2 linked regions of the Styela clava genome follow. The protein of the gene in region 1 binds, or shares a complex with, the protein of each later gene. Links are inferred from orthologs where the notes say so. Each region holds a gene or a part of one and is shown on either strand. Other genes may lie near its edges. The genes, in order: DNA replication complex GINS protein PSF3-like and DNA replication licensing factor mcm4-B-like.

Evidence for each region.
Region 2: DNA replication complex GINS protein PSF3-like (region 1) and DNA replication licensing factor mcm4-B-like share a complex: the UniProt entries of both Homo sapiens proteins name them as parts of the CMG helicase complex. The link is inferred for Styela clava from reciprocal best matches to the Homo sapiens genes GINS3 and MCM4.

Annotation. Positions count from the first base shown.
Region 1 is NC_135260.1:20,657,528-20,674,901, forward strand, and holds DNA replication complex GINS protein PSF3-like, read right to left. Parts: upstream 7,815-17,374; 5' UTR 7,768-7,814; coding exon 7,611-7,767; intron 7,190-7,610; coding exon 7,071-7,189; intron 6,704-7,070; coding exon 6,587-6,703; intron 6,287-6,586; coding exon 6,062-6,286; 3' UTR 5,652-6,061; coding exon of another isoform or gene 5,544-5,651; 3' UTR 5,270-5,543; coding exon of another isoform or gene 5,165-5,269; 3' UTR 2,899-5,164; downstream 1-2,898. Other genes in the region: putative gamma-butyrobetaine dioxygenase, read left to right, coding at 281-405, 1,271-1,472, 2,385-2,507, 5,165-5,269, 5,544-5,651; enolase-phosphatase E1-like, read left to right, coding at 11,071-11,128, 12,153-13,006; copper chaperone for superoxide dismutase-like, read right to left, coding at 13,647-13,788, 13,860-13,942, 14,009-14,086, 14,148-14,208, 14,575-14,755, 14,913-15,015, 15,456-15,566, 15,838-15,861. UniProt on the Homo sapiens protein: Required for correct functioning of the GINS complex, a complex that plays an essential role in the initiation of DNA replication, and progression of DNA replication forks.
Region 2 is NC_135254.1:19,989,937-20,006,694, forward strand, and holds the start of DNA replication licensing factor mcm4-B-like, read right to left. Parts: upstream 7,941-16,758; 5' UTR 7,709-7,940; coding exon 7,690-7,708; intron 7,242-7,689; coding exon 7,198-7,241; intron 6,931-7,197; coding exon 6,828-6,930; intron 6,043-6,827; coding exon 5,879-6,042; intron 5,707-5,878; coding exon 5,570-5,706; intron 4,988-5,569; coding exon 4,906-4,987; intron 4,543-4,905; coding exon 4,447-4,542; intron 4,367-4,446; coding exon 4,228-4,366; intron 3,702-4,227; coding exon 3,527-3,701; intron 2,764-3,526; coding exon 2,499-2,763; intron 2,145-2,498; coding exon 1,880-2,144; intron 1,511-1,879; coding exon 1,401-1,510; intron 1,256-1,400; coding exon 1,152-1,255; intron 835-1,151; coding exon 658-834; intron 20-657; coding exon 1-19. Other genes in the region: coiled-coil domain-containing protein 180-like, read right to left, coding at 9,138-9,340, 9,913-10,083, 11,603-11,759, 12,685-12,777, 13,183-13,343, 13,916-14,006, 14,603-14,707, 15,318-15,420 and 3 more. UniProt on the Homo sapiens protein: Acts as a component of the MCM2-7 complex (MCM complex) which is the replicative helicase essential for 'once per cell cycle' DNA replication initiation and elongation in eukaryotic cells.

The sequences.
Region 1 (17,374 bases):
CCCTAAAAGAAATTTAATTGAAATAGAAGGGGTGTGATGCTCGACGATCAGCGTGTGTTAAGGATGTTGTGAGCGTAAATATCTGCTATTTTTATTTAGTTTTTCCAATACCATATTAAAAACTTTGCAGTATTTGGATACAACAGCGCAAAATAGGATTCGGAAATGAATATACATACAAGTCAGCCGTAAAGCTCAGAAATCGATTTAGGCACATATCCCGACCTCTGGAACCATTAATACGATGATGCAATTTGCTTACTGTTTCGTTTTTATTTAGTTCTTTGATGTCAAGTATGAGCCGGATCCTTATAACTCGGCATATACCAGTTTGGGACTTCCCTACCATCAAGATTTACCGTACTATGAAGCAATGCCGGGAGTCCAACTTCTTCATGCTCTTGAGTAAGATTTCCGAGTAGGCCTACAACATTTTCATCACGATACTATTTCCCTAATTTAATAATTTCATTTAAAAATTATCAGATGCGAAATTGGACAAAAAATTATTGTAGTAACATGAAATTTTGTAATCTTTATAAAAACTTAATACGCAACTACGCATGTTTTATATATCTATTGATCTGCCCTTGTATTCGCCATGTAGCCACATACATACATACATACTTGCGCGATTGACGGCACTCCCGAAGTATGTGCATCAAGATGGCGCACAACCTGAACCCTAATCTGGTACACATACTATGTTCAGGTTGTGCGCCATCTTTGTGCACATACTGAGCTCCCGATTGACTTAGAATGTGAATTTTGATATCGAATAATAATTCCAAATGGTGCCTTGTTTCACATTTACAGAATACAACAATTATCCTTATTTTATATTTCCTAAGCTGCTTTTTACTTCCAAAATAATTTCCAGTAGTTGAAACCAGATGTCTGTGTGATGCATTAAAAGACATTTGAAGTACATATACAGCTACGAGAATTTGCCAGCTTCCGGGTTTTTATTAACTTCTGAGCCGATACTTTGAGCAACATTTTTAAATAAATTTCTATCGTATTTGATAGCGATGAATATAACTATATATATATAAGAGATAAGATACGCAAATTTTCGAGCATAATGTAAGTTCTATTAGGAGTGGATGAAGAGATATACTATGGCGAGAATTGCTCTTCTATTTTTGGTACAGACCCATATATACAGATAAAAGTTTCAACCGACTTTTCGTCCACACTGAAAAAAAAATATATATACATATGTTCCGTGTGTGCACTAGCATTTAGAACTTTACGTAACTATGTTCAGATTCGACGATTCAATCAAAGGTGGTGAATCACAGCTGGTAGATTTATTTCACGTGGCGGATATATTAAAAAAGGAATCTCCCGAAAACTTCAAAGTGCTATGTACAGTTCCTGGTACGTTTCAAACAAAGGATTTGAACCGCCCCAACCCAGCTTGGTACGAGCATACAAGGACGCATATTGAAGTTGATTACTTTGGAAACGTAAGTCAAGTCTAAGCTTTGTTGAACTGAGGCTAGCACTTGCAGTCGTGGGCAATTTTGTCAAATTCATCCAATTCAGAATATTGCTGTAGAACGGCTTTGAACGGTGTATTCCAAAACAGGGGCCGAATATTTAGTATTAATCAAATCTGAATGCTTAATAACATTAGAAATAGGCTGACTTCCACATGCCGCAATCGCGTACAATTTGAATTGTCTCGGATAAACTCGGTCATTTTCATTCATCCAGGAGATCGCGCCTCTTCGTCCTGTCAGAACATGGTAATAGGTAACCTTTTTTCATATATATATGCATGCTTCTGTGATAGCGCTAATTTGGGTCGTTTTTTCGTAGTTTTGGTGCAAATTATTATTTTGATACATATACACAAAAGCTCGGCGGTATGGCGCACCGTGCCAACGTTAGAAATACGCACCTCCGATTACCCTGTGCGGGTTCAATTATCCCGTGGAGGACAATTTTGCGCGAGGTGGAAAGTTGGAACCGCGGAGTGGTTCAGGTGAACGTAGTAGGTCGGTTTGGGGTTCCTCCACCATCAAGTCCATGCATCCAAAACAAATAACTGACCAACTAATTCTATGCCCGATATGGACTGCTACCGATAACCCCACGAGAGGCCGTGGTACACCATATGAACAAGCTATCTTAACGACCTCCCTTGTGATAAATATGAAATACAATCTACAATATTGAAACCGAACTTGCTTGTTTCAGACTGTATGAACAAGCTATCTTAACGACCTCCCCTGTGATAAATATGAAATACAATCTACAATATTGAAACCGAACTTGCTTGTTTCAGACTGTATGAACAAGCTATCTTAACGACCTCCCCTGTGATAAATATGAAATACAATATACAATATTGAAACCGAACTTGCTTGTTTCAGACTGTGGCAATCTACTGGAACCCGGGAGTGGAAGGAGCGTTAAGAGTTCGATTCGAAGATGAAGAGAGATACTTCAAAGCGTACGTGCATTTCTTGAGAATATTACGGAGAAAGGAATTAGAGGTATAAATGAAATCTATCCATGCTATAATCTTACTAAATCTTATTTTTGACATAATATTCATGCCATCTTTGGCGGGCTTATAAATAGATCAAGATCCCATAATTAGTGATAACGTGTTACAGTAAGGGCGCATTGGTGGGTGTGAGTAAAGTAAGTAAAGGTTAATTAATACGCATTGGAACACCCAGTTTTGTCACCTAAACTTCTTCGAACATAAAGCACGATAGCGAGGCGACTTTGGCCAGTATATTCACCCCGACAAGACATTATATCAGCAACATAAGACTCTAATCAGGGATGGCCATTTCCGAATACTAAACTATTCCGAATACATTCTAAAATAATGTTTTCGAATCTGGACTTCCGAATACATTCTAAAATCGAAAATAACACATTTTTGTTTTAGTTTATTAAAACCCAGTAAATTAGGTAATGAGCTTTAATAGAAATATCAGAATAAAACCACAAACCAACAGTATATGTACACAAAGTAATTGATAGTTTATAGCTATCAATAAAAAATAATAGCAACTTGTGGCACAGTCAGTTTATTAAAATTATTCACTTAGTACAAATGACCATATGAAAAGATAGACAAGGAGTTGTCTGACGCTTCCTATCATTGGTACCATGATAATACGATAATAGTCAAGTCTATTGACAAAAATACTACTTGTATTCAGATAATTGTGTATATTTTCTGAGAGTAATAAAATTTATTGGCAATACAGGCAACTGAAACAAGCAACAACAATCGAAAATTCATTATGCCCTTAAAAATTCTAATATTTAAGCCTAGAGTATTCTACTACCTACCAGTATATTTGTATATTAATTTATGTGAACCATATTGTTATTATGTGTAACATATTGTCGCCTGCAACACCCATCGCGATTCCTCGCTCGTTAAAAAGCCGTCTTTTTCAGCGTATAATGATCATCCTGTCACGTAAAATATTCAATCCATGACAACTACGAGATTCTATAATATTTTTAGATATTAATTTAATGTGTCCAACGTAACTCGCGGTTGCTTCTTCTTACGTCAAAAAAAACATTACTATTCGGTGAACGGCGATCTGTGACCTAAAAGTACGAGACAAACTGCCTGATGTATTTAATTTTAATACGTATTTTTGCAATCTTTCCAACTCGTTATCGCCGTTAGAAAAATCTCAAATAATGATATAAAATTCTCTTAAATTGTAGAGTATAAATCATTTCATATAATGAATATACATATAAAGTTTAGCAGTAAATTAAAAATAGATATTCATCGCCGCGATTATGCCACCTGTTAAAAGAGTCGACTTTTACAACAAATAATATGACAACGAATGTATATTTTTCTGTTGTGCAAAGTGATGAATTCGTGACCGACACGGGCATATTGGACACGTAGTGGACATAACGATCGTTTCAATATTATGTTGTTGTTGTTCTTTGACACGTTTTTAAAAAGTCGCTTTTCTCTTCGAATACTGGACCAATTGCTTTGAAATTTTCAGTGGTTAAAGATAAAAATTTTCTCCAGAAGGCTATTACTTTTTTTTTCGCTATGACGTCATCAAAATTATGTGACTCTACGTGTCCATATATTTGAGCATAGCTCTCTTGTTTAAAATGTCTTGCTTTATTAATTTAATTGTCTTCAATTTAACCTGCGGTTGCGTCGACAAAATAAAATCCTTACCACTCCTATATACCATTGCAATCCGCGGTCATAAAAATAAAAACGTGTGGTAAATTGCCGATTAAATAATGTTTTGATCCGTATTTTGCGAATTCGGCAAATATTTAGATGTACTTGTTAACAGTGACTCCGCTCAATCGAAATGCTGCGAACCTGATTATTTCTAATAAAACCGTTCGAAAAATCCATAAATCTGCTGTTACTCAGAGTAAAATTCATTTCATCACAATAAAATTGATTGAATATACTTTGGATTAATTATATTATATACATCCTCACAGCCCGAAAAAAGTCACGCTCCAAACCTTGTATCATGTTAACACGAAAATATTCGACGGCAATTTGAAGTAATGGATAATCAGGCAAATCCCGCCCTCAATTCGTGACGATATATTTCTAAACGCTGACCAAACATAATGTGTGCCAGAGGCACACGTAATTTTACGATTTTCACTGCCTAGAAAAGCGTTTTTTAAATTTTCGCGGGCCTCAATAAAACTTATATTGTTTGCGGTTTTATTTTCAGTATTTTAAATTGCTGCTTTTCAATCAAAAAGTTGCGTCTTTAGAAACTCGCCGCCGATGAACGTATTTACCAGTTCACAATTCCGTGCGCGTACAAAAATGAAATAATTGTCATCGTTATCGTGGAACAAATTTGTGGAAAATTTTCGTTTTAGAGAAAATAACACAAACGTAAAGGCGTTTACGGCCTAAATAACACGGTACGCTGATGAGTGATGAAAACAATCACGCGCAAGTTTCTATCGAGAATGTTTTCATTCAACGGAAACGTCGTGAAAGCGGCGTCGAAAATGTGTGACGTCACACAAATATCCGATATTCTTATGAACGCTAATTCCGATATTCGAATTGGCCATCCCTGACTCTAATATTACTTTGGAATATGAGAATATGATGGCTTTTCAATAAAAGACTATAAACGTTTGATTCGATATATAGTTTTGCTTCCGAATGAAGCCTGGAGACTTGATAATCTTCAACAACAGAAGAATGGCCCATGCTCGTAAGGAATATAATACGAAAGAAGGAAAACGTCATTTACAGGTGACTGAGTTTGGGGGCATATATAGTGTCCAATCACAAACTTGTGAAGCAACTAGGATAATTTTGTTGGATTGTTCACCAGCATCTAGTGATATAACACACTAACGCAGAACTCCCCTATCACTATCCATTGCATGTTATCTCAATGTTTTATTTTAAAAGAGGGCAAAAACAGTATATATTTTCAATGGTTTGTCACTAGATTTTAAACTTGAATTTCATCAAACATTAGCCCTCAAAATAGTATTCTTAAATTTGACATCTACCTTACCAGGGTTGTTATATTAATCTTGATGACATGAAGAGCACTTATATGGTGCTGGCACACAAGCTTGGAAAAAAGGTTGTTCCACCCAAAGTCGGAAATCGGTGCTGGTACTAATGAAACTGTGTCCATCATCCTTTAACTTTTGAAATTCATTGTTGTATGTACTTATGTTTTTATGTAATTATTTTTGATCGTCATGATTTTAAGTTGCAATAATGCCAATATGATATATGCCAAATGTTATTAAATGAGTAAATAAAATTTACGAAAGTATATGACAATTTCTACATTTTGAATGTAACAGATGGATTTCAGAGAGTACATGGGCAATAAGAATTTATAATTTGCCTCAACACTGTGATACCATTCTTTATTAGTCTGGTGCTTGAATGATTTTAGCTCAACATCTTAGTATCTTTAACCATACCCCAATTCACTCTTCAGACATTCATGTCATGTCGTGCACAGATCAGCAAGTCAGTACTCATTGGCTGGTATAGTAATCAGCTTACAGAAAACAGTCCTTACTCAGCATCGCGCTTTCGTTTTCTATGCCTGATTACCATTTCAGAAGCAGTTAATTTATGGCTAGTTCCCACCTCCCATTTCATATGACTATGAAGACTTTTTTGTCCAACTTCAAATAAATTTCGTTCAACTTCATCCAGTTTTTCTTTATGTCTATTACTGTCAAATTTGAATGCATTGGTTGACCAATCCATTATCCTGCGAAATCTATCAGCAAATGCCTGCATTGAAGAATGAAACCTAATTCAAGATGTATTTGAAACTATCCCCTCAAGATTTTTACAAGGAAGTGATATAGGTGACATGGAAGCACATCATATTGGGCCCAACTATTGAAATCTCATAGATCCAAACCCTACCCCAGTGCGTGTGAAACAAATTAGGCTGAGCATTAACAAATTGAGAATATTTTGATCCCTTTCACAGTTGCTTTACTAAAATCATCTTTCGAGAGGAATATGTGAAACACCTCCTAATGTAACAATAATCCTGTGCCTAAGAAAAGAACATGAATAAGTTACCTGAACTAGACTTCTTGCAACAAACACAGATTCATCTGCATTAAAAACCAGCATTTGTTGTCCCATTGCATAATAATATGGACCGAGTTTATGTAGATCTACAACTGATGCATCAGCCTATGTTGTTGAATGTAAAGAGAAATAACCAAACAGGGAATGAACAGAGCCACATGCAAAATATGAGGAGAGAATGCAGCAAAACCAAACATAGCACACACAAGGTTCATAAATTAAATAAAATATTATTTGACAAATTTTTGTGTTTATTAAATGAGGGACCACGACTATGGCTGGAAAAGGCTAATAACAGAGAAGTGAACTATAAAAGAAGTGAAAATTGAGCTTCAATAGTTAGCCCGCTAATCAGCTTGTTACCATACCCATATTCCTATATAAATATTCAATATGAATTGTTGTTTGTACAATATACACATAATACCTTCTGTCTACAAAAATTTCATTAGAATATTAGTTTTCAAAATACCTTCAGAATTTCTCTATAAACTTCTCTGTAAGGTTTTGTTATTTCTACAGATACAAGTTTTCTTTTAGGATTTGCTCCAAGTGATGATGCAAGCCATAATGGCAAATCCATCTTTGTACCTGAAGATTAGCTTTGCATTATCAGAATGTGTGAACCAGGAATTATACTACACGGTTTATATAATAATACATGTAGCTAGTGGATAGCCAGACAAACTCAATGGTATTTTGTTAAATTTAAATAATGCATTTCACAACATTCGAGCTAGCTGGCATACTCGTAAGAGAATGAACCTTCATAAGTGATATGCACCAGTGGAAAAAATAGGTTCAACTTAATCTATTAAAATTGGATTAAATGCGAGAGAAATAGGTCCATCCCGAATGACTAACGTAGATAGAGATTTATGTAACAGCCTGAACAGTGGCTTCTTAAAAAAAAGTGTGATGAAACTTCATAAAAACAGTCCTGTAATTTAAAATTGGAATTATGTAAAATTTGCATACTGCAACAATACATAATATTCAACTGCTGCAATACCTTCGGTTATGTCCTTTTTACCACTTCCTGGATCCAGAAAACCCAAACCAAACACTGGCAAAAGAAAGCTACATGGAACTTTTTCACTTGACATTAAAATATCATCAATACTAAAATAGTTTTGCTTCAAGCTTCCGCTCGGAGGAGCACAATCCATAAGTATAATTAGTAATTATAGGTATATTATCTATAGACAAAAGTTTAATAACATATTATTCGCTCATTGGAAACTTTATCTACTTGGTCCTTTAACCATGCAGTGAATATGATGGCCAGTATAATTCAAATGAATAACCAACTCCTGAACTCTGTTAGAAATTACAGAACATCTGGTTCAGGCTTGTACAGCAGTTGTAAACAAGGATTCATCAATGGCATCAGCCTAACGAGGCACGATTATGTTTCAATATTTATGTACAGATAATTCTGTAATTTAAGTACGTTTAAACTATGCATGTATGTACGGTACTTCCATCGGGTATAATATAGATTTAGTTGGGACTCCTGATTGACTCCGGGCAACCGAAAATATTCCCACATTATTAGTAGTATTTCTGTATTTAATAATTGATGTAATCTGGACTACAATTTGGCAATATTTTGGCATGTTTTTGGCTAATGAAAAGGTTTAGCCTACCTCTTCATGCACTCAACTTTGGTTGGGCAACTTGGCACTTGACTCCAATTATAATCAGCTTAGCGAAATCATTTTTTTGTCCTTATATTAAATACTGTTCACTCTTGTTTGGATATTTTTATAAAATTATAAAAATGGTGTGGCAAACAATCCTTATTATTTTTTACATTTCATCTTTTATTCTAATTTGTTTTTTATGTGTTTATTTATTTTTTTTTGGTTACCATATAATTTATCTAAAGCTTCTTTCTTTTTACTTATCGATCTTAAGATCGGAAAGTATGTTGATGGGTATTTGTCTGATAGACACAAGCGATATCTCACGAAAAAGAGAATGAATCCGCTCCGAATTTTGCATATGCATTCATCATATCTCGGATCAGAAGCCTATAGATTTTGAATGAGTTATGTCGTATAATTAGCGAGTTATTAATTAATTAGTGATGGGACACAAGGTGGCACTATGGAGAAAGAGCGCTGTTTTGGGGGATCGCCTAACTTACTATTGATAAATCATGGGTCTCTGACCGATATTCTCGTTTCTAATTTTATTAATGCCCTATGGTTGTGTGCGTGTGTGAATGATTTTATTTTTTTTTTCTTAGGTGAGTGAACACGTACCACTTCTTTTTGGCAATCCATCTTACAGTCTTATATTCTGTACGTTTTAAAACTTGTCCACGGATTTGTTTACTCTCCTGATTTCTGGATTTCATAATCAGTTTTTAATAATTTGTTTTTATCAAACATCTTATCGCCTTTTTGCTGATTATGGAGTCGTTATATAGACTACTCCCGATCCGATCCTGTTTGTTGAAAACCAGGCCCGGAATCCTGTTTTTCGGAGTCCTGGACCCGAATTCTGTTTGTGCTCAACACCCTCAATGCTCAACCATGGTTAACACTAGTGTGGGTGCAGATTTCAGGAATCGAAGTTGCACCGACCCTTGACCCCTGAAAAAACTTTTAAAATTTTAAACGCTTAGCGCGTATAATAAAAATCACAACAAAATGGTAGCCAAAGTTTGGATAAAATGTGGAGTTGATGGAATTGCAGAGAATTTTTGAGGTTCATGCGTAAAAGTAAAGTGTAACTTAGAAAAAGACAAATCTTGGGTGTATAATGAATCTTGCTATCCACTTGGCTGTTAAACTTGCGAAAAAATGTTGATGGAAGCTGGGAAAAATTTCATGAATGAAAAGCTTTCGGGTCAACTAAGAAGGGGATTCATAAATATGCAATCGCTTCACACGATCATAGTTCAGGTTCAGTGTGGTGCAACATGCTAAGCGTTAGGAATGTTATTCTGCGTGGGTAGGCAGTTCCGAAATCCGTGGGAGATAACCATGTGCGAGAGGATTGCTGGACTCTTCGCCGCCGTAGGGTGGTTCACGTAACTGCGGGTCGGTTACAGCTTCTTCCATCATCAAGTCCAAGCATCTGAAATAACTGGCTAATTACCCGACATACTGTCGCTGCTCTCATCACTGGGCTTATCATTTCCATCATCTAGCAATTGGGGGCCTGCGCAAAGTGGAAAAGAATGTAAGTAGCCGTTCGGGAACTCAGTCCCACAATACTTTCAGGTAATATGCATCTACATCTAACACTCCTTAATAGGATCACTTATTTCTGCCATGTCTTCAGTTTCAACTTATCTGCTAAAAATGATTTCTTATTTGTGCATTATGAAACTGACGCTACCGTCAAATAGGTTCAGTAGGAGAATTTTCACCTTAAATTTATAATACGCCCTCAGGCATAATAGATGTTCATTTGGTTCCCAGGATAGCTTAGTTCGTACCCTTCTCCATTGTCAAGACCGTTTTTAATGCCCAAATCTTTCAGTTACTTTATTTAACAACACTTTTGATGTTTATTACTTATATTCACTATTCATCTTCAAAAAGATACCTATCAATGCACTGTTTATGAATATACACCAAAATCTGCATGCGTATTAACATATTATGTAAATCACAAGTTCTTGTATAAGATTTTATATATATATATTCTTGTATATAGACACACCCTTTTGAATACAACCGTGCCAAATTGAATTGCATGAGCAGCAAATGCCTTTGTGTGAAGTCTGTTTTTGCCTGCTCCAGTTTGTGCAGTAGTAACGATTGTAGAAATACGGGTGCCACGCATGAGGAGAGATGATAATATTAATATTGAGTTATGGTTTTAACTTTCATGAAGTTTGATATCCTCCTAACCAATTAGAATACTGATATACTTTCGTGAATATGAGGAATATTGAACTGGCTGTTGTTTTAGTATTTTTAATTACACATGCCTTTGCTTTGTACTCATTTTGTGTTCTTTTTATCTTGGAATTATGTTTAATTTTGCCACGTAATTTCAACATTGCTATATAATTATTTTTGTTAGTTTTACGAAATAATACGCCATAATATTCTATTCTATGTATATCGGCTGTAGGGATAGGCATTGCTAATTGGAGCTAAGATCTGAAGCCCGACCCAAAATTCGGGCCGGAAATGTCAATCATTACGTTCGAATCGGATCTGGCTTCTCAATCGCTGACTTTTTTTTTAAATGAGGCGTTTTGACCACGAAAGATCATGGTCTGCAAAAAACAGAAGTTACCTCATCAACATGACACATACTGTACAAAACTCTTGCAATGACTATTCAATGAACGCCTAAATTAAATATGAAATTTCAGGCTTGGGTTGCAAATCCAGTTAATTAGACGGGCTCGGGTCGGGTTTAATACCCACGGGCCTGGGTCGGGGCGGAATTTTTGGGCCCGATCTTACTTCTATAGCTAATTACTTAGTCACCGCACAAAGATGGAAAGAAAAGAAATTATGACGTCAGATTCATTTACAGAACTAATTGTGACACCAGGTGATATAAATGCTAACCCCTCCCTCAAAAAAAACATTTGTTTTTTTGTTTTTTTTCAACTTCATTTTGCGAGTTATTCTTGCTTTCCAGGTATTTCTGCATCTTGTTTTTCTGTTTATTTTTTGTGTTGTTCTCTTTTTTGTCAGAATACCGAAATAAAATGATGATGAGCCACCAGACCATAAAATTGTCAGGGTATTCCCCACTTCAGCTACATTGATGGCAATAACAGTTTGGGGAATATTTGAGGGGGCGTCGGTCGGTAGGTATAGGCGTATAGCCATGTGGGGTGAAGTGTTGGGCATTGAGAACTAATGGAATATATGATAAAGAACATTAGGTACAATAAATCAATTAGAATTAACACACATAAGGTTTATAATAATGAATAGTGTTACTTGATGACTGAATGTAACCTACAGTCCTACACTTCAACTGTAACTGGCTGACCGATGTGGTAACGTATGTTGTGCTGATGAAGATAGGATATGATGTACATACCGGTAGTTATCCTGGTTACCCATATAATTGAAAGGAAAGCGTTTTCAAGTCCATTGGCATCTAAGCAGATTGTTGCCATGCCAAAAACTAAATGACTGGAATTTCTAATGTAATTAGAGGTTGAAAATTAATAAAGACAAATTTCTTAGCATAAATATAAATGCTGAAAGGAGCAATCATAACATCGATTTGGCAAAATATAACTGGTTTCAAAACACTGATGATGAAAATACAATGACAAGACGCATCATTTTTAACAGCCACGCTATTTAGACACATTAAGGACGAAATGCTTAGGTTCCTACTGCTCACAGGAACAGTTTAACCAGAGCTATGCAATTATAACATTTAGGACTGTAACACAATTTGAAATGGTTGTTACATTTTCTGCTAAATTTGTTAATTCAATTTTTATCCCTGCTAACATTAATAATCGATTTTGTAGCTTGAAACTGAAATACCACACAATAGTTTGCAGAAATCTCTAACAGTCAAACTTCCTTTTCTTTTGGTTCCATTACAGAATTTTATGCAATAATGAAGTTGAGCACAAAAGGAAAATCATTGCAAGAGTTTGTTGAAACTGATATTAAAGCAATTGTTGTGGACATTGAAGGAACCACTACACCAATAACATTTGTCACTGAAGTCCTGTTCCCATACATCAAAGAAAACATAAAGACATACTTGACCAAAAACTGGAATGAAAAAGAACTCTTAGATGATTATGAAGCTCTAAGAGCTTTGGCAGAGTCTGATAGACAATCGGAAATTGAAGATGTACCTTTAATACCATCACATGATGAAAAAGGTGCTCAAGAATCTGTGGTGAAAAACATTTTGTGGCAAATGTCTAAAGACAGAAAGTCGACAGCCTTGAAACAGTTGCAAGGCCACATGTGGCAGTCTGCTTACGCAGATGGACTTATCAAGGGTGATGTTTATGAGGATGTGCCGAGTACTTTGAAATCCCTAAAGACTGACGGAAAATCGCTTTTTGTTTATTCTTCTGGAAGTATAAAGGCACAAAAACTACTTTTTGGACATAGCAATAGGGGTGACCTTTGCCCACTATTTAGTGGATATTTTGACACAAATGTTGGCGCGAAGAAAGAAGCGTCGAGTTACATTAAGATATCAGATTCAATAGGCGAGAACCCAGAAAATATTATATTCTTGACAGATGTCCTTGCTGAAGCAGAGGCAGCAACAACAGCTGAAATGAATGCTTGTATTGTGCTACGTCCAGGAAACTACCCCATCTTAAAAGATGATCTGGAAAGATTTACAACAATAAAATCGTTCTCTGAACTTGTATTCACAGAGGAAGATATTCCAGAAAAGCGTCAGAAAGTTGACGAGTCCCTCAAGAAATAAAACTACGGTACTTAGTAATCAGTGATTGGTATTCCTAAACCTTGGGAAGCATGTGTCTTTGCATATTCTTGGTAATGTTTTGCTGATCCCAGTATTGGACAGCAAAATACTACTGATTGGCGCATATTCCCTTTTAAGCTAATAATTAGCATGCAGGCATATTTTACATAAATCCCAACTTAAATAACATTTTATTTAGGAAATAATTGGTTTGTGCATTATGTGGTGAAATTCATAAAGTTAAAAAAATATTGAAAAGATCTGTTTATCATTAAATCAACCATCCATTGAAGGAGTCCAAGAAATTATCAAGTTGCTAGTTTGGGCTTAGCAGTTATAATACAAAACATATATCTCTCTCTGGAAATCTCTGATAAAGGAAAGATTTAGCTAGCTTGTGAACCTTTTGTTGCAAAATTCTGCCCAGTGTCGAGTATTGAAATTCTAAGCATAGAGTAATTCCCTTGAAAAAGAAATTTGGAATGTCTTCGGATCCAGGACCCTATGTATGATGTAATAATAATCCAGTAAAATGAACTGATTCCATTTGAAGAATGATGATCTTGCAGTGGTAGTGATTAGACAAGACCCAGCAGGATGGAAATATTTCATTTGCCAGATGGAGCCTTACTTCTTCATCTCAAGGCTGCGAGAATTCAGTACGCACCTTACCAACATTAGGAACATGTCTTTCATCCCATATTGAGATACCATCACACGTGCAAAATCGTTTGGAATTCTGGAACAGCCCTGATGACCTTGCTATTATTGCACATGCTACGCTGTAAATATAATTAGGTCAAGCGGTAAGTACTGAGTTGAAGCCAGATAAAAAAAATACATTAATTCGTACCCTTTACCAGAATTTCCATCAATCGATACAAAATCATCCTGATTTTCATGGATAACAATTGATCTTCCAATAATATCATGTACCTAAAATGAAGGATATGTTCTCTTACAAATGTTTGCTGTGTGAATTGAAATAAAGTAGGAAGATACCTTGAGAAATTTATCCGTAAACCTGAACTTCGCTCGTCCACCATCGTTAGCTTTTATATTTCCCAGGTCACCGACATGCTGAAAGGCCAAACAACATTAAATGACACATTAGAAACTATGGAAAGTGATAAAAACTTACCCTCTCTTTAGCGAGACGATCTCCGTGACGCTTGTTATCAGGATTATAATGTTCACCACACCTGTTGAAAACACAGTAACATGTGGAATTATACTTAGTTTCATTCTTACTCAATTAGGTATTATGTTATTCGCTAACTAGTGATAAAACAACTTTAAAGCTCATTTTTAAGCAGTTGTTAACACAATAGGGTTTGACATAGCCATTACTTGTGCCATTACAAAGCCTTACAAATTTTCGATTTGTTCATAACAATGTGCGCAGCCTTACAAATTTTCGATTTGTTCATAACAATGTGCGCAGTGGAAAAAGGGTTGGTCAGGGCCATAACCTGATATTTATACCCTGTGACGTTGACAACATGGATATAAAATTTACTTATCAAATTCAAATAGTATGCATCATTCCTAATGATATAACATATTACCCCTCGCATCCGTTAGACAAGTCTCCATAAGTGTGAACATTAAGTCCATGGTAACCTGGAGAGAGACCATCAACAATTCCATCAATTAAACAAAGGTTATTTGTCAGTTGTGCGAGCCTTACAATTCCTTTGACAGAATTTCCACGAATTTCTGCCACCGCAGCTCCCAAGGGTTCTAAATCTAAGTAGGTTAAATCATTCAATTATAACAATAGATAAAAAGTTGAAGCATGTGTTACATGAGTAAATCAATGATCCTGAATCTATCGACTGCTTTTTCCCAATAGTTGTAAACAGCATCCAATGATCTTGTGTAATAGAAAATATACATGTATAACCTTTTCCCATAGAAGATCCTATTCCTACCAATTCAGCTTGCATTCCTGTGCTCTCAATCAATTTTTGTACATCTTCGAAAGGCAGTGCTGTGTCAACAACTACCTAGTGAATAAATATAGTCACAAAAATGTGTCTTTTTATCAGCACTACTGTTTGTGAAAGGAGATTGTTGTTTGAATAAAATAGTTTAAAATTCATTTTGTAATTATTGTAGGCTACTATCAATTTTTAAACATGGACAATGCTCATGAAATAGGGAATGTTGAAACATAAACTTGAATTATTACAACTTGAAAACTGAATCCAAGATAACTTTCAGTCCAAATTCAATAGTGACTGTAACACTGTCTTAGTTTTAATAGAATATTTGAAATGCGGAAGCCCATAGAAATTTCGTGAAGAATATGACTAGGGAAATTACAGTAATGAAGCTGAAGACTGCAACATGCCCCATATCTGGTTATTTACACAGTAAGTCTTTATAAGGTTGTGTTGATTCAAACTTATAGTTATTTATATTCTCCTTGCTATAATTAGCCAACCTGCTGGATGTTGAGGTTTATCTTGGATCCGATTATTTTGGAGTTTCCAGAAAGCACTTTCTCTACCTTTTCCACGCAAGTGTTACAAGTCATTGAGACAACAAACTCGAGCTGAAATAAGAGCAGAATATGATTTTTAACCTAAAGGCAGAAGAGAGAGAAATGATGATGAGGAAGCGATACAGTAACCACTCTATGACAACAAGGATTTCAGGAATCTTCTGCAATTAATTTTTCCTTACATAATTCTAACCTGCGCAGAGTTATTAGTCTTTTAATGCACAAATAGCCCATCTGAATGAAATAAAATTTTGTTCTGTATTCATCTCCCTGAAATGAGGAATTTCAATAACATAATAGGTAATACCGTAATGAAATTTACCTTTGCGACAGAATCATGCTCCATTGTACCCCAGTGTTATTGATGATATTATTGTACCGCGATGAAGTGTTCTCGCCTCCTTTCTCACTAGAATGTGAACCAGAAATCGGTTCTGGTATTGCGCAACCAAAGGTCGTTGAGGCGTGTCGATACCTCATTTATTTATTTAACCATATTTACGATTTAACCGTAAATAATTACAACTGATGATTTAACATAAGTGCCTAAATATACGACCGAAAAGTAGTTAGATAAAATAAAACTTCGGGGCTTTTGAAATGAATGTATATCCGAGCATCGATTTTCTTGTTTATTTACACAACAATAACAAATCATCAATAAGTTCACAATGACGTGGGAATTTATCCCACTGTTCAGACACTTCTTCCGCTCAGATACCGGTCTTGTTTATTGTTTTGAACTAAAATGATAGTTTTAAACATGTGAACCAGTTTGAGAGCGCAAACTCTCTAAAACGCTCTCAAAATCATATTTAAAAATTTTGCGATGATAAAAGTATTTTCAAGGGCCGGGGAAACGTCCATTTGCCCGCATGTATATGGTTGTTTCCCCGACGCTTGATCCCAGAATAATCTTTCCTATACTCAACGATTAACATAACTTTACTATAGCAAAATTTTGGATGCCTATTTTGCAAACGTTTTGACACTTTTTGTTCTCATCGTTTTGACACGAAGAGTTGACACTTACAAACTGATTTACATACTCATTATTTTCACTAAAATATACAACAACGTGTCGCTTATACGTACTAGCTAGTTTAGGTAATATTTATTCTGAGGGAGGCGATACGACTGCTTATCTTAATCACATGTTTTTCACTATTTTGTGTATTTTTCTGTTGGTAGGTGGGCACGTAGTCTACTTGTACGTTTTTAACTTTATTCTATCTCTGCATTATTTTTAAATATGTGCTACAACAATATTCATTACATTAATTATCACTACAACATATATTCCCATTACCATCGTACATTTGTCTATTATGTTTTTTGTGTTGTTTATGTCAGTACCGAAATAAAATGATTGATTAAAAATTTCAATTGTTATGCATCGTTGACTTTTTTCTGGTTGGTCACCGTTACAGAAACAAGAAAGCTATGCTCAAATATATGGACACATCAGTTTTATTTCGGTCACTCTGAAAGAAAACAACAAACGGACAAACAAAATGCAGAGGATCTGGAGAACGGGCATAACTTAATAAAAAAGGTAAAACCGTACAAGTACGTGCCCGTCCACCAAAAACAGTCAAAAGATTTTAATAAAACAAAAACACGATGTAAAATCGGGCAATACCTTCTAATTCAATTTTAAAATGTGAGACGTGTACATGTATAACAACAATCTGCGCTCTGTTCCATCATCCACAACTAGATTCATAAAAGGATCGAAAGCTCGCAAAACACCTCTAACAGATCGTCCACAATTTAACCTCAAATCCAATCTTTTATCAATAAACTTCTTTAATTCCGGTGGTTGGGCTTTGATCATGTTGATATTACGCGATACAAAT
Region 2 (16,758 bases), on another chromosome or scaffold:
CAGAAATATCAGATCAAATCTAAAACAATGTTGTATCCTAAGTTTGATAACTGAACAATTCTCACATATTTTCAAACCCCCTGAAGTTGATTATCAAAATTCTGAATTTCTCATAGTTGGAAGTCAAAATTTACAGACTCTCAGTGGTGATTAAAGAAGTCCGAATTCTTTACGGAACTCAAGAAGATTCAAGTTTACTAAGCTTTCTTAACAGTATCAGGGGAAGCTTGCATACAACAATTCCCGGAATTGGATTGTTTCGGGTTTTGAGCAGGGAGTCTGATTCAAATTTTTCATTCTCACAGATGAAAATCCGAAGTCGTAGTCTGAGCCAAATTTTTGTAATCCAGAGTTATCGCCATCTGAATATGCAAAGCAGCTGGTGAATTCTTCCTATCGACCAATTTCAAATAATCTGCGTGTTTGTACTTGGTAGGATTGTTATAAAGTAGAATCCTGACACGCGATCATGGTAATAAGTTTTGATCACACAATATCAAGTAAAAAAAGTAGAATTTTAACCCTAGTTGCAAATCAAAGTGCAGTATCATTGTAGTGCAGTTTTGCATTAGATTCATGGATCTCTCATCCCCAATTTTGTTATTTCGGTAAACTGTCAAGGGAAATAAATTGAGTTAATAGCTAAACAATGCAAACCTTGACAACAATGTGTGAGGCAGCATGATGTTTTCGATGATTGTTTTACGATGATTCCACTGAGATTCGCATGGATTAGCAGCAGCAAGAACACATGTTCGAGCATTCAGTTGGCAAATAATTCCAGCTTTAGCGATGGAAAGCGTCTGTTGCTCCATTACTTCATGTAGGATTGATCTATATTGGGGTTTTAGAAAAGGAATGCCGTAAAACTAATACTTTTTGCAGAATATCAGTTTGTAGTTAAAGTACGTAATAATCTTAAACCTCAAAATATATATTGAATGTTGTGTTTTTAAAAAACAGAAAGATTTTGGATTTCTGACAACAGAATTAAAAACCACCTAAATAATATGGACATATATTTTATCAAAATAAATTATAAAATTGGAGAACCAACCCTAAAAAAAAAATGAGTCAGAGATAACTAAGTGGGTTAACTAGAAATAACAAATGTCATTATACATATTCAAAAATCCAATTGAGGAAACTACCTTGTTCCATCACTCATTTTATCAAATTCGTCAATGCAACAAACTCCATTATCACTCAGTACCAATGCACCTGGCTGTAAAACCAACTGTCTGGTATCTTGATCCTGTTAAAGAAAATACAAAATTCAACCAGTGCTTTTCAGCCATGGATCCGAGGAGGGTTTTATGGGTTATTGTGGATATGTACATAAATACTTCATTGAGCAAAATGGACACACATTGGATTTCTGAAATGAATATAAAACCTGCCTTCGTAATATAAGCAGTTAATCCAACAGCACTTGATCCTTTTCCAGACGTATACTGACTCCGTGGCACCATGTTATGAACATATTGCAGAAGCTGAGACTTGCTAGTACCTGTATGTTAGAAAGTAAAGCAATGTTACATGTACGTTGTTGAACTGAATCCATGATACTTCGTAAAATCTAACTTTACTAGTTTAACATTTTTATCTAAATTTTAATTTATAATATTATTTTAAGTTTCAAGTTGATTTACATATTTATAAGTTACGTTTTATGAACAATATTTACAGTGTTACAAAAGTAGAAAACAATAAGCCTCGTGCCAAAACTAAATTCAATCGCAATTTCAACAAATTCATTGAGCTATTTTTTAGCTAACATATCAAAATTTGTTTGTAGTTTGGTTGTGGCAGCATCGGGCGGGCCAGATTGGAGTACCCAATGGGTGGTAGTTTGCCCATGCCAGTTGTAGAGTCTTACCTGGATCACCACACAATAGAACATGCAGACAATCTCTGAAATGTCCTCTCCCAGCAGCAGTTAGATCTTTCTGTGTTCCACCAAACAATTGCAACAAAATTCCCTTTTTCACATCGTCGTTTTCATAAATGCTCGGTGCAATCGAGCATGCAAGTCTGTCATAAATATCAGAGCGCTTTGACAGTTCTTTAATCTGATCAATCTGTTCTTGTGAAAATTTGATGACTTCATCTCCTTCGTCGTTAGTGACTTTAGTTTTACTGTCCTGCAAATATGATAAAATTTTAAATAAAGCTAGATATTGATACGAGAGATTTCCCTTGATCTCTGAATCTACATTTTTTTAAACAATATACAGGGTGAGCCCCCAAAAAAACAGAACCCACAAATTCCTTTTCGTCGTAGTAATACAGAAAATGTATTTGAAACTTCTGTTTGTGTATGACTATATACCCAAGGCAAAAGTTTTAGTAATTTAGGACAATTTACACAAAATTATGTTTTCTCTAGAATATGTTCCAAATGACTTGAGTTTGCATAAAACAACTAGACTAAATATGAAATAGGTGTGGGGAAAACTTCAAAAATTATAATTTGAATAATAAAATAGAAGACTAGCCTTTTTCTGAAAATGCAAAACATCAATGTGCGTTTTATACACAGCTTTCACATTCCGCATTCTAGGATTGTCTCTAAAAGGTTGAGCTCTGTAAATCCCAGTCACAATCACTCTGTCTCCTGGTTGTACAACATCAACCACATCACTATAGGCATGTAAAATAACAGAATGCGGAGTTTGTCCAGCTGGCATGTCATCCGGAGATTCTTGAAGTTTTACCATTTGTTTGTCGGTGAAAAGCGAACGGTTATGGATGAGACTCATGCTGAAAAGAATACATTTGTTAAATTTTAAACAGTAATATAAGGCCATTTTGAAGCTTAAGAGTTTACATAGAATTTCAATATCAACCTAAAAATAAGTTCAGATGCAAAATTCTTTCAAGCATTCAAAATATTGATAATTTTTGAGGCAAACTAGTGAACTACCAATCTAAACAATAGACAAAATTGATTTAAAATGCCTCATTTTTAATGTAGTTTTGAGCATGACTAAATTATATTAGTACTTTGCATTTCTGCATTAAAATATAAATAGCATCAGATCAGGGATGGGCAAAATACGGACCGCGCTAACGACCCCAATTGTGACATTGTGCTTCTTGTTATTATATAAACGTTAGCCTAGCTGTTGTAAATAAACTGTTATTTATTCATACTTTTCATAGTTTTGAGCTTCCGGCCCGGTAACCAAGTCTATTATCTTTAAATGATCTAAGTCTACAATCTGTAACTGGCCCACTCAAGAAAAGTAATTGCCCACCTCTGTATTAGATGAATAGCTAGCTATGAATTTAAAAGAAATTTATTACATTTTTTCACCTTAAAGTGGCTGCAAATCACAAAAAGGTATTGGAAAATACTGAAAACTTCACCTAGAACAAACCGGTCATGTATGCCAGGAAGAGTTATCATCATCAATATGCAATATATTAATAAATTTCTCTATTTCCACTGAAACCATGCTAATCTTAAAGCATAACCCTGATATAGATAAAGTAGCTTTAAATTGAAATATACTGTATTCACCTGTGTACAGTTGAACAATTGGTGCATGTGGCAGGTTCAGCAATTCTGCCTCTCTCAATTTCAACAACAACCTCATGTAGGCAGATGTTGCATCTAAAAAATCCTTCTCTCATTTCCGGTATAAGAGATGAAGTTCGAATAACCATTCCAGCGATTGTGATCAGTTGATCAATATCTAGAAAAAAGACGAAAAATTTAAAATTAAAACGAAAAATTTTGGTTGTGCCTCTTATTAATAAGAATGATTTCGACTCAAGTCTCAATTATGTAAAAAATGGACTCCGACCCCTTGTCCGAAACCATAGAAAATCAAATTTTTTAATACAAAATTTAGGTATATGCAAACGTTCTTTAATAAACTGTTTAGAACACTTGAAAAATCTAATGTTTTTTAGTTAGTAGAAAATTTTATCTGAAATTTTAAAACCGGTGCAGACTTTAATGATGCCAAATTCAGAATCCACAGCCCCAATTAAAAATTCTTTGTTTTAACTAGCTTCCTAATTTTAGAATTAAGGAATGTAACTTGTTAAATTTTCAATAGAGATTTTCAAACTCACTGTACTCAAAAAATCCAAAATTGGTATATAATGGTATCATTTTAGGCATGTCTCATTTTGCAACTGTAAATGACCTTTTCTTATCACATTCAAATAAATTGAAGATTTGATTATTAGAAGAAAAAAAATTTTCATTGTTACCTTCAGGGTTTAGTGATCGCATATTCTTGGTTCGTTCAGCATTAAAAGGCCGAACTTGAATTTGATGTTCCAGTGCAATATCTGGATATTTTGTGAAGAACATCTCATTGATAGCCATGTCGAAAGTTGGAATAACTTCCTAAATATTTGAATAAAACTTTGTCAAACATTAAACAAGAAACGACACAAGGGTTGACATTTCTAGAAGTATGCTTATACCTGTGGATAACAAACGAGTTGTCTGTACAGGTCACGATCAAACGACTTTAGATGAATGCAGTCTATATCCAAGTATGGCTCTTCTGTAACACTGATCTAAAATTTAACAGGATTCATGAATCAGATATTCTAATCAATGTGGTCACTGGTCATGCAAATATTATTACTTTTTATTATTTAATCATTTGGTATATTTGATTAAAAAAAGTCTTTTTGCAGACTAACACAAATGTATTACTGTAATATTACGACCAAAAGATATTTACGTTAGTGTGCAGCAAGATTCCTGATTTAAATAGAATAGTCAACTTGATTTTTGCTACAGCACCCTTGCATTGTACACATACAGATCTACTTGCCCAAAGGCATAGAGCAAGAAAAGGTGGTTAGTCTCTTGTAAAACCAAGCATGAGTTGATTAACTCATTTATTTGATTTATTATTTAGTAATAAAGTAAACCTCTTCCAGTTTCTGTTGATAAAGTGGTTGGTTGACATCCATGTCATCCACTTCCATTCCGTCTGCATTTGGATCAATGAATCTGAAATAAATAAGATAATTAGAAGATGTTTTCATGTTTGTTAGTCTAATGCGTTTTCAATTCTCTTAATATTATCAAGAGATTTATAATAATTTATTATTCGGTTAATAAGCTTTACTATGAAACAAGCCTTATTAAATGTAAATGAAAGAAACAAATTTTTAATACAGTTCATTAATCTGGTACGTGGGAGTAATTCCAATCGCTTTTTGTTGCAAAGCCTATACCCGGGTGCAATTTATCATCTATGTCTATGACGTTACAGCTAGCTTGTGCGAAGCGAACAACGCATGTCATAAGCTTAATAACCAACATTTTTGTGCCTGCAACTACTACAAAGCATATGTTGAAAAAAGGTGAGGCCCATGGTTTCATCTAGTTATTTGTATCTGGCCCTTTCGTATAAAAGATTGCACACCCCCGGCATAGAGAATTGGGGTAAAGATTCAAAGAATTCCAAGGTTATACACACATTTCAAAAACATTTACTAAAGTGAAATCCTCATTTTAGACTTTAGACACAATGTGATAAAATCATCATTTGATAACGATAACTGCTCCATAAAAATTATGATTTAGTACCTGGTAACAAATTGACTGAATTTTTCCTTGCAATGACTGACAACAACATCCGTTCCCCATATTACAAGTTGGTTACTGACTGCAGGTTGATCAGCAGCATCAGATATGTCTGCATTTTGCGGCGCTGCATCAGACGACTGAAAAATTAAATAAAGATAGTTGGAAATGGCCAATAGACCAAAAAACCTGTTTTGGAGGGAAAGTTCCGAAGAACACTCCATTCTAGTATCTGTCATAAAAGCAAAACAACACAACATTTTGTTGATAGGCGAGAGTTTGCAGTTCTGATGTCAATTGTAAGATTATCACCTGTTGGGCATCTGGGTTCACATTAACAGTTCGAACTTTACTGCTGCTTCCTAGATCAGGTCTCTGTCGTACTGGTGTAGCAGCTCCACGAGGAGTTCGACCAGGAGTACGAGCACCAGGTGTGCCATACAACAATGGAGAAGACAAATTCAGCTCACTGGCACCTGTGCAACAGTCGGCAGATTAGTATTTTGTAGTTAGTAATTATAAAAGCAGTGAAGGATTATCCTATTTTTATCCCAGAGTAACATATGGGAAACTAGTCCATGCTGAGTACGAGAAGAGCTAATCAGTCAATCATTCCAAATGCATGAACTCTGATGGTGGAGAAAGTCAAAAATGGCTAGCTGTGATGGGAGCCAGTCTATTACTACAGGAAGTTCAGTGAAACTCTCGCACATAATCTGAAACAAATAACTGGTTAACTATTCCCATACCTGACATGGACTGGTTATTGGACGAGAAACTGTGATTCACCAGATGGATTGAAACATCCTACTAGCGGCTTTCTTTCTCTTCTTCAGGATAAATATGAAAATCCTATGCTTATCCGGAACAGACTCAAACAGACTCAAACATGAATAGGAATTAGGATTGACATATTTATCCAGTGAGAGAGGAAAGCCGATAATATGGCTTAATGATATAGCCAACCACGTTATCTCGTCCAGTTAACAGTCCATGTCGGGTATGGGATTAAATAGCCAGGTATTTGTTTTAGGAAGCATGAACTAGATGCCGGAGGAAGCCATAAGCGACCAGCGGTTATGTGAAGAGGGGGCGATGAGGGGCCAGCATTCCCCTTGCGTATTACCATCCCCACATCAAATTCGAACCTGCGAACCCAAGCAGAGTAATTAGAGGTGTGTAGTGGCGAGTGTATTCCTAACGCTTAGAACAATGCACTAGTTAGTCACGCACTGCCAATTTTTTGAAATTTATACATTACCCAGAATAGATCCAGGACTTGGCAATATTGCATCTCTAGAAACATCCAATAACCTGGCAGGTGATGTTGGTAAGAGGTGAGGATCACTACTTCCTGATGGAACCTGACAATGAAGAAAACAAACATAGGCTATTATTCTCAAAGACTGGGCAAGAATTGATAATGCATTATCAATTGAAATCAATGGCAGTGAAAAATTGCTATATTAATTCTATTTGCAGATTTGAGCTCTTTTCAAGATAAACCCAATAGGGCCTACTGGTATCACTTTGCTGAAAAATACAAAAATAACAGTAAATCCAGCTATAATTCTGTAAATGGAACACAGATTGACTAACAATATAAGACTGTAAGACTAAAAGAAACACACCTGTGGTCGACCAGGAGACTTGGGATTTCTTCTTCTTCTTGAAGCTAAAGTAAAGAAAATAGGGCCACATATTACCATACGCTCTGTATTCAGATATTACATTACAGCATTAATGTATTACAGTATTATTGCCCTAGGCCAGTAGGCTAGTTTGGCAAATGTCAAGAAATTGTGAGACTGTCCTATAGGGCAGTTGAAAAAGTGAAACAGACACTCAATTTTTTTATGTTCATAGACCAGAAGATCTGAACACAGGAACATGAAACAATCTCCAGATCTAGCATTGGTCTGTTGGTGTATATTTTTAAATTTGCTTCACATACTGACATACGGTAAATAAATCACATCCTCTATTTTTAGATTTAAGGTACGACGCTTTAAAATATTTTGGCAATCAGTTTCGCAAATGGTTGAATAAATAGCATTTACAGATTTAAGCCTGGCAATACACAGTGAAATCTTAGCAAAACGTATTATAAACTTAATACTCACGTGTCGATCTATCAGACATGGTTTATTCCCCGATAAACGTCAAGAACATCAAAAATTAGGCAAAAGATGACTGAGTTGGTGTCAGGCAACCTGGTAAACAAACTGGCTTATTGTCGAAGCCTATGCAAATGTTTAGCTTTCCCGCCACACACACATGTTCACCGGTCAATAAGAGGAGTGCCAGATCGAAGTTGTTTAGCTCCTGGTGGCGCAGCGCTGCATGTGGTGCGTCTGCTCAATGACATCGATCTGCTCAAAACTTTTCCAAGCAGGGATAAATATGGGATGGATAGATAGTTAGAACGTTTGAAAACTTAATATCACACACAAATTAAAAATAGAGAATTCTGAAACGCGAGCCAAACTTTTAAAAACGTTCGAAACATGAAGTTGATCATGTGCCCGCCCACCAGCACACACATAAAGAAAAATTACAAAAAACACAAACCTAGTTAAACGCGGCTTTGGCCAGATCTAAACTACCAATGAACTTTTGGACTGTCATACTTAAATATGGATTAAAAGTGTAGAGAGCGAGAGGAAAAATCGCCTGGTTTCCATTTTAGATGTGATATAATAATATGGATAAGCAGTAATTTGTTGTATTGCCCGATTGTAAATTTTCCCCAATGGCTCTGTTCTTACATTTAATTGGGTCAGAGTGACCAAAATAAATTGTTTGATTGATTCTATTTATTGATATCATTTTAAATTGTGTAGAAGTATTTGCACGATTTTAAATCGCGAGTTCAATCAGTCCATCATTTCATTTCGTTATTCCGACATAAATCGTTGCGATCATTAAAAGTTATGGCCGCTTTTTTTGATATCTCTGTATTCTGTTTACTTTTTGTGTTGTTTTGATTCATGTTAGAGAACTGAAATACAATGACTGAACGAATTTAGTGTTGTGTAACTACTTAAGTACCTCTGATTCAGCGATGTTTTGATTACTGCAACTAAACAATTTCTAGGACAGTAGTTCTCAGACTTCTATGGTTCGGGTGTCGCTGCTCGATAACCATTCCTGGTTCCCCGCGACTTCCCTTCCCCAGTAAAAATGTGTTTTCAGGAAATGGGAATGGGAAAAAATAAACTTGACTATGACTGCGACACCATTACAAAGATCCACCGAACCTGTGGCAGCACGCTCTTCTGTAAAATACCTACTTTGGCCTTTGGAGCCATTTCAACAGTTATTTTAAAGGGATTTTAGGACCTTTTATCCGAAAAGTGATGATGCGTTCGTCAAAACTACGAGTCACGACTATTAAGTCCAAGGCGTGTGCGCTTTTATTCACAACTGGAATATTTCTGGTAGAACGCACCTCATTCACTCCTTAAATAATATACACTATGAAACTAAAACTTTATTACAAACAGTGGAAAATACAAGGGATATATATACATCTACATCCTATAACAACTTAATCTTTTGAATTTATCAATCACGTATAAAGCTGTTGGACGTTTCGAACAGACTGTCGCCAATTTTCTGCCCATCTCTCTTCACTGAGTGTTCTTAATTCTTCCTGTTCTTTAATTTCACCCATGACTGAATTATAGGCTTCAGTGAAGGCTGTAAGGCATTTATCTCTCGTGGTTACGGATGATGTGTGTGAAAGCGTCGTCTTGTTGCAATTTATGTCTTCTGTAAATTTGAGAAAATGATTGAAGTTTAGATTCATGCCATTCAGGGTAAGTTAATACTAGAGAAGAAACACACTTGCACTTGCACCTCTAATCTGTTCCTTGGGTCAGCAGGTTCAAATCGTGTGATGGATATGTGTGAGTAAGAGGATTGACTGAATCTGTTCAGAGGTAGGGTGGTGCACATAACTGGGACATGAACCAGTAGGGTATATAGCCTCAATTGATACGTTTTTACAATAGATTCTACAGACACATAAAGATTTGATCGGGACATAAACTTGCCATAGATATAATTGATTTTCTCCCCCTTGAAATAAATAGGAAAATTCTATCTCGCCCAAAAGGAAGTCCAGTTTGAGAGTAACCATAATGTGATCAGTTATTTTTGTGTAGGCATACCTAGCGAAGGAAGCCACATTGTGATGATAAGAGATCCACCAATTCATTGAACAAGATACTCCCAAACAGGGTTCACAAATGCCTCCATGAAGGGCAATAAACCTAACCCGTAACGCAATGAGTCAGTGAGTTTTAAGAAATGTTCAAATTTAGAAGACAAAATTTCAATACCTGCTACTTCAGTTAATACTTCTCCCTTTTCAAGAAGATGAGAAACTTCAAGCCCTGGCCAGACATTAGGTCCACGTGGCAAAGATGGTCTATATGAAGTGTCATGCAGATCAATACCAGCAGCTTTCTTCCTTAGTAATATACTAGTCGGTTCTTTTTTCAACTCAATTTCTAAAAAATATGAATATAAATAATTACAAAATAGGATTATCAAAAAAGACGAAACAGGTTTATCATATAGCGCAGGGGTCACCAACACGTTGCCCGCGGGCACCAAGTCGCCCGTGAAGACCATATAAGTCGCCCGCAGGTCTGTTCCAAACTGAGCTTAATAACGGCGCTTATGAGTAAGCTACATCGATTAAATTTTGTCCTGCTATTTTTGTATAAATCACACTTATATGGGAATCGGGAATGGCACTATATTAATTATTGTAGCCATCAACCTGATTTTTATTTGACCCTCAGTAATGTGACGGGTCAATTAACACTCTTCCAATTATGACATCACACTGATATCACTTACTACGAACCCGCACTTCCGCGCTTTTTCTTTTCCGTTGGTTTGTGGAGCAGCAATAATATAATTATTGATTCCAAAGAAAAATGGCAGAAAACGATGAAAAACCCACCATTTTCACGATGATTGGGGGTGGATATATTTTTACCAACATGAAAACAGCCTGCGCGTGTCTCATCTGTGGGGCGATTGTAGCGACGGCAAGCGAAAAGATATTTCACGGCTTGTCACGCAATCTACCGCGCTAACTATCCAGCGCAGTACGGACAGAAAAAGCTCGCGATTCAAATCATACAGCAATTCTATTTTACGAGACCATTGTTTCGTTCAACCTATCTTTGTGAATCAACATTTTTGACATAAACTCAGGATAGGATGGGATTTACATATTTATCCCGGGCCATCCCAACGGCAGCAAGGGGTCCAGCAATCCTCTTGCACATAACTATCCTCGCGAACCTAACGCTTAGCACACTAACGATGGCCACACAGCTGCGACTTTTTAGAAGTGTACATTGGATTGGTAGCCCGCGGCTTAATCTGTACCCAGAAAGTAGCCCTCGGCCTCGAAAAGGTTGGTGACCCCTGATATAGCGGGTCACAGCCTCTTATCCGGTTAGCAGTCCATTTCAGGAATGGGAATAGTTAATCAGTCACTTTTTTTAGATGTATGAACTTGATGGCAAAGGAAGCATTAACCAACCAGCGGATACATGAACTACCCTATGGCTGTGATGATCCCAGTAATCCCTTTTAAGCTTACAAAGCCGAACTAATCTCTAAAATTATCATCAACTTATACAGTCACATGGGGCTATTAAGTAGTTACTACACAAGTTAGATCACAAGTTATAAGTTAGATGGCTAATCCTGCCCTCTTCCCTCAATAGTAAATTCGAAATTCAACGCTAAAACCGAAAATTGTCCAATATCAAGATATTTTGAAAGACTAAATTCGCTAATTAAACATTGATGCCATTCCTGTTAACTGGATGAAAAATTGTATAAGTATCAACTTTACTAAAAAAACTGATACTTTTTTCAATAAATATTCGTATATAATGTAGAAACTAAATTTTCAATCCAACACACAAAGTGTCAAATTTAATCTGAACCAGCCACAAATCAAATTATTTACCAGTCATCAAAACATATGACAATAATTCATACTTCCTGAATTGACATCATCGATTGTGAGAGAATAATCAAACTGATCCAATAAACTTGCACAAGCCTGTCCAATATTGAGCAAAAAATGCTTTGTGACTTCATGAGCCTTTTCATTCAAATCCTTGCTGTGTTGTTGAATACCAGACAAATTTTCAGCCTAAAAACAAGAGAGCGATGCTTAATATATGGGCACGAAGACCAAAACGAAGTAGTACAGCTACCGGTACTAGTGTAGCAATCGCAAAATTTTTTATAACATTTTCGCACACAAAAAAAGAAATTCTTTGAAGCCCACAGATTCAGATGCACATACCTCTGGGGCACCGATTATAGAACATATTCCAGAGAGAACATAACGTTTGTGCAAAACGTTCTATATTACTGCAACTTTTGGGAAGAATCATACACAAACAGAGGTTCAAGTGTTAAATAAATTTTCTTTATTTTTGTAGGAGTAATTAAGAAATTTACAAGTTTTGTTTTTTTGGTTACCCTGTATATTCTAAATTATCATTTGGAGTATCATTGGAAAATAGTCTCAACAGCGGATAGTCTCAAAAGACTGAGACTGGCATCACTATATTATCACGATATTTCAGCTTGCTTTTTTATTTCTGTGGACCAAGATCTGGGATGTTTGATCTATGTTAAGGTACCTATGCCTTTGTTCGCATAGTTTAACAGTAATTTTCTAGCATTAGGAAACTTTGGATGAACTATAATATACAAATTAACGAGTATAAAAATGTCAGCACCTTCTGAATGAACTCAAAGGGTTGGGTGAAATAGAAATAAAAGGATTACAATATCTGAAACAAGGGCTTTCAACCAGTGGTGGGATTCAAATTTTTTGTTAGCCGGTTCCATCAGAAAAGTCATATGTTCTAGTCGGTTCTGTTGCCTAAAAGTCATTGACAGTAACCAGTAATGGTAACCGGTTCACTGGTCTCATAAAATTCCGTGAGACGGTTCTATAGAACCGGTGCGAACCGCCTGAATCCCACAACTGCTTTCGACCATTATTACACGGCGAATTGGTTAGTTTCAATATTGGGGATGTACTACTTAAGCAATAATCCAACCTGTCTTTCCTCTTCTTTTGTTATCAGTTGTTGAAGTCTTACTTCCTGATCAGGATGGCCTAATGTTGGTCTGAGAGAAACTTTGTGATTTTCCTATCAAAATGTAAATATTGAAACTAAATTATATTGTTGGAAATAATTTCTCATGTAGTTATTCAAAATAAATGTCAATAGAAATAATGATTGATGGATCTTGTTAAAAGTTGGAAGCGCTTTCCATCACACCTAGAATCCTGTCGAGTACATGTATGCGAGTGGGCTGCTAGACTTATGTGACCGCTGGTCAGTTACAGCTTCATTCTTCATCAAATCCACCATTGGGATCAACTTTTATTTGTAAGATATGTGTTACAATCATTAGCAAAGCAGGTTATCAATATGGTAGTTATTTTAAACTGAATGACAGTAATATTCTGATGAAGCAATCCTTATCACTCATTTGTAGTGTCATATAGGATCACAAATTGACAATATTTCACAAACAAAGATGAAACAAACCTTCACTTTTTTCCAGTTAGCTTCTTTTATTAAAAATTCAGCTTGAATGATCTGTTGTTCTCTTCTGAGATTTTGAAGACTTTTTCTCAATATCTCGTCCAAAACTAAATTAGGAACTTCTGATAAATCTTCCTCAAGCGTTTTCAACTGATGGCGGAATTCTAAAACAAAACAGATAAGTCAGGCATCACTATGACATTCAGTTAGTTACATACAAATTTAGTGTTTGCAAGCCGAGTCATTCACATTAAATTTAAAGAAATAAATTAACAAATTAACCAAAATCCTTCCACAAAATTAAACAAGAGTGCAAGAAAATGACCAACTGAAGTATTGATAAAATAAACCAAGTAAATATTCTCATCTGTGTAGAACATCTCACCAGCATAAAAGAAATAGGCCAGCTTTGAACCAATGATATCTATTATTATTGGACACAAAGTGTTGTTGGTGTTATTATTAGAATTCTTTTTCTTGTTGTTTTTATGAAAAAATTGCCTTGCTCTTTAATTACTGGACCAATTGCTTTGAAATTTTCTATGGCTCAAGATTGTTGTTGTCGTTAGAAGACTAGTAATTTTATTTATTTCGTGTTTTGTGTGTGATGACGTACGTCATCAAAATAAGAAATTGCTTTGTGGCGGTTCCGCGTTCATTCATCCATCATATATTTGAGCATCGCTCTCTTGTTATTTTCGAATGTTGTGAAGAGAAATCAAAACTACCTTCTTACCTTGTAAAGAAGTATTGTGGTATTCTTTGGTTTGTTCTTCGTAGTTTAATAATTTTGCAACAACAACATCAGAAAACTGATCAAAATTATCCTAAATAGTAAAATTAGAACATTTTGTCATACTGGTAATTATTCGTGAAAAAGAACATAGACTATTTTTACAAGAACATAGGATAGAATTTACATATTTATCCTGGGAAAGAGGAAAGCCGATAAGATGGCCTAATCATATGGCGAACCACGGCCTTCCAGCTGGTTACCAATCCATGTTGGGTATGGAATTAGTTAGCTAGTTATTTGTTATTCGAAGCATGGACTTGATGGTGGAGGAAGCCGTAACCGACCAACGGTTACTTTAACCACCCTATGGCAGCGAAGAGTCCAGCAATCTCTCATACATACCTATCCCTGTGAACCAACACAGGATGATCAGAGGTGTGTCGATCTTCAAAATTCCAGAATTGAGTACTTGAATAAGACAAACAAGCTAAATTGATGTTATCACAACTCCATCAAGCAAATTGACACTTATTACCACAAAATATGTTCTCAAAATATCACCAAAAATATCATGCACACAACAATGTGAAGTCCATAAATTCAAGCTTTTGAACTGTTGGTCTAGCTTATTGAAAAATATTTATGTTTGCAAAAGTTTATATACTAAATATGAGAATAGTATTATACCTGCATATGATCTGGTCTAGTTACAGCTCTCGCTCCTTTCTGTTTGTAATAAATTTCTCCAGTTGAAAGTAATCCGTCTAATGTTTCATACAGTATTTGAGTGATCTGGAATTGAACAATGACACTATCCTTTAACGATGTATACGATGAATCTTTTTATACGAAAATAACAAAAAGAGTTATTGACTATGTGCATTCCTAAGGTATTTGTTGTAATAAATTATTGATCCTGATCTTTATAATCTTTATCTTTACAGTTATGCCTTGTTTCGTCTAAAAATTTTGACTTTGATGTAAAGAAAAATTACACAATACCCAAGTATTCAGGATGCAAGTTTATGTGCAAGTTATGACACATAAAATGGTGGTTCACTTAATCTAGTCCAGTGAGTCCCAACTTGTTTGACCATAAACTATTTCCAAAGCAAAATCTTGGCTAACTCGAGACACAAGAAATAAATAAACATCGATTTTATCGAGATTTGTTTATCAGAGCAACTAGAAAAATTGTATTGTCACTATCAAACAAAGGTTTTGATCGACTAAGATGATCGAACCAAGATATATCATATGATTTAGCTGTTTTATAATTTCACTTCTTTTTGCTATAAAAACATGAAAAATGCAATCCCTGGCTATCCTGTGAAATATGTATCCAGATAAAAAACCTATTACACCCTCAGTATGATCATTAGCCAACATGAGTTTGTAATACCTTTGCCTCAAAGTGAGTTCCAGAAGTTGATGAGGTACCGAACACCATATGTCGAAGTTCAAATTTAGTTTCACGTCGTTTATATATACCAGATCCGACTCGACTGGAAAAGAAAAGCAGAATAAAATACATTTTATTAAGAAGAATTGCTACAAGTATGTTAAAATCAGTATTATTGGTGAGGGAGGATGGGATTTCCAGATTTATCTCAGGAGAAGAAAGTAGATAATATGACTTAATCATCGACATCAGTCACACGTACCAGTCCATGTCAGCTATGGGATTAGTTAGCCAGTATTTTCTTTTCAGATGCATGGGCTCGATGGTGCAAGAAGTCATAACTGACCAGCGGCTATGTTGATCCTGCAAACCCATGCAGAGTAATCATAGGGGCAATGGCAAGTGTATTCCACCAATCCAATGAACTTGAGCGAAAAATGAATGAGCACAGTAGAACCATACTATTAAGGTGTCCACAGAAAATCCAAATCGCACATTCAATTCACGGCTTACATACATACAAAAATTGTAATATTAACTGAAGAAAATGTTTCTGATATTCTACCTTCCGCCATCTTTCTTTTTCCCTTTATCAGAATCAGTTGTACTTCCAGCAATGCTTGTTAATGTTCCTTGTCTTTTAAAACTACCTTTCTGCATACGAGAATTTCCAATCTAAAATGTTTTGAATTGGAAGTCTTGTTTAATCAAATACATAAAACGAGATTTTCATATTCATCCATCCAGTGATATCAGTACAAATCAGGGCCTGTTTATTGTATATACCGGTAAAAGAATGTATGTCTGTGAATTGTCAATAAAAAAATACCTGAGAGGCAGCAGTAGAGGGAATAGGTCTTGTTCCTCCTGTCATAACTGATCTTAAATCTTCTGACTCAGGGTCCATCCCTTTCTGTGCCCTATTGAAAATGAAATATGGAAATTTTGGTAAAAATAAGGTCAGATGTAAAACATACAGACACTGATAAATCGAAGTGAATATACAAAAACATGCAAAAATTATTTTTATGATATTTCATACCAAAATGACCCATAATGCTTTAGAATGTAATATAGCTTGGCATTATGGAGCAGTGTGCTTAGCATTGCAATCACACCTCCAATTACCCTGAGTGTGTTCCAGAATCAATTCTCTTAGTGAATAATTATGTGCGAGTGAATTGCAGGACTCTTGCCAGTGGTGGTTCCTGCAACATTTGGTTGTTCACATCTTCGTCCACCATCAAATCTCGTGCATCTGAAACAAATAAATGGTCAACCATTCCCATTCCCGACATGAACTGGTAACCGAAGGAGAGGCTGTGGCTTGCCATATGATTAAGACATCTTATCGGCTTCCTTCTCCCCCCCAGGATACACATGAAAATCCAATCCTATGTACCTGAGAATGCTTTTAATCATTCCAATAGCAGAATCTTCC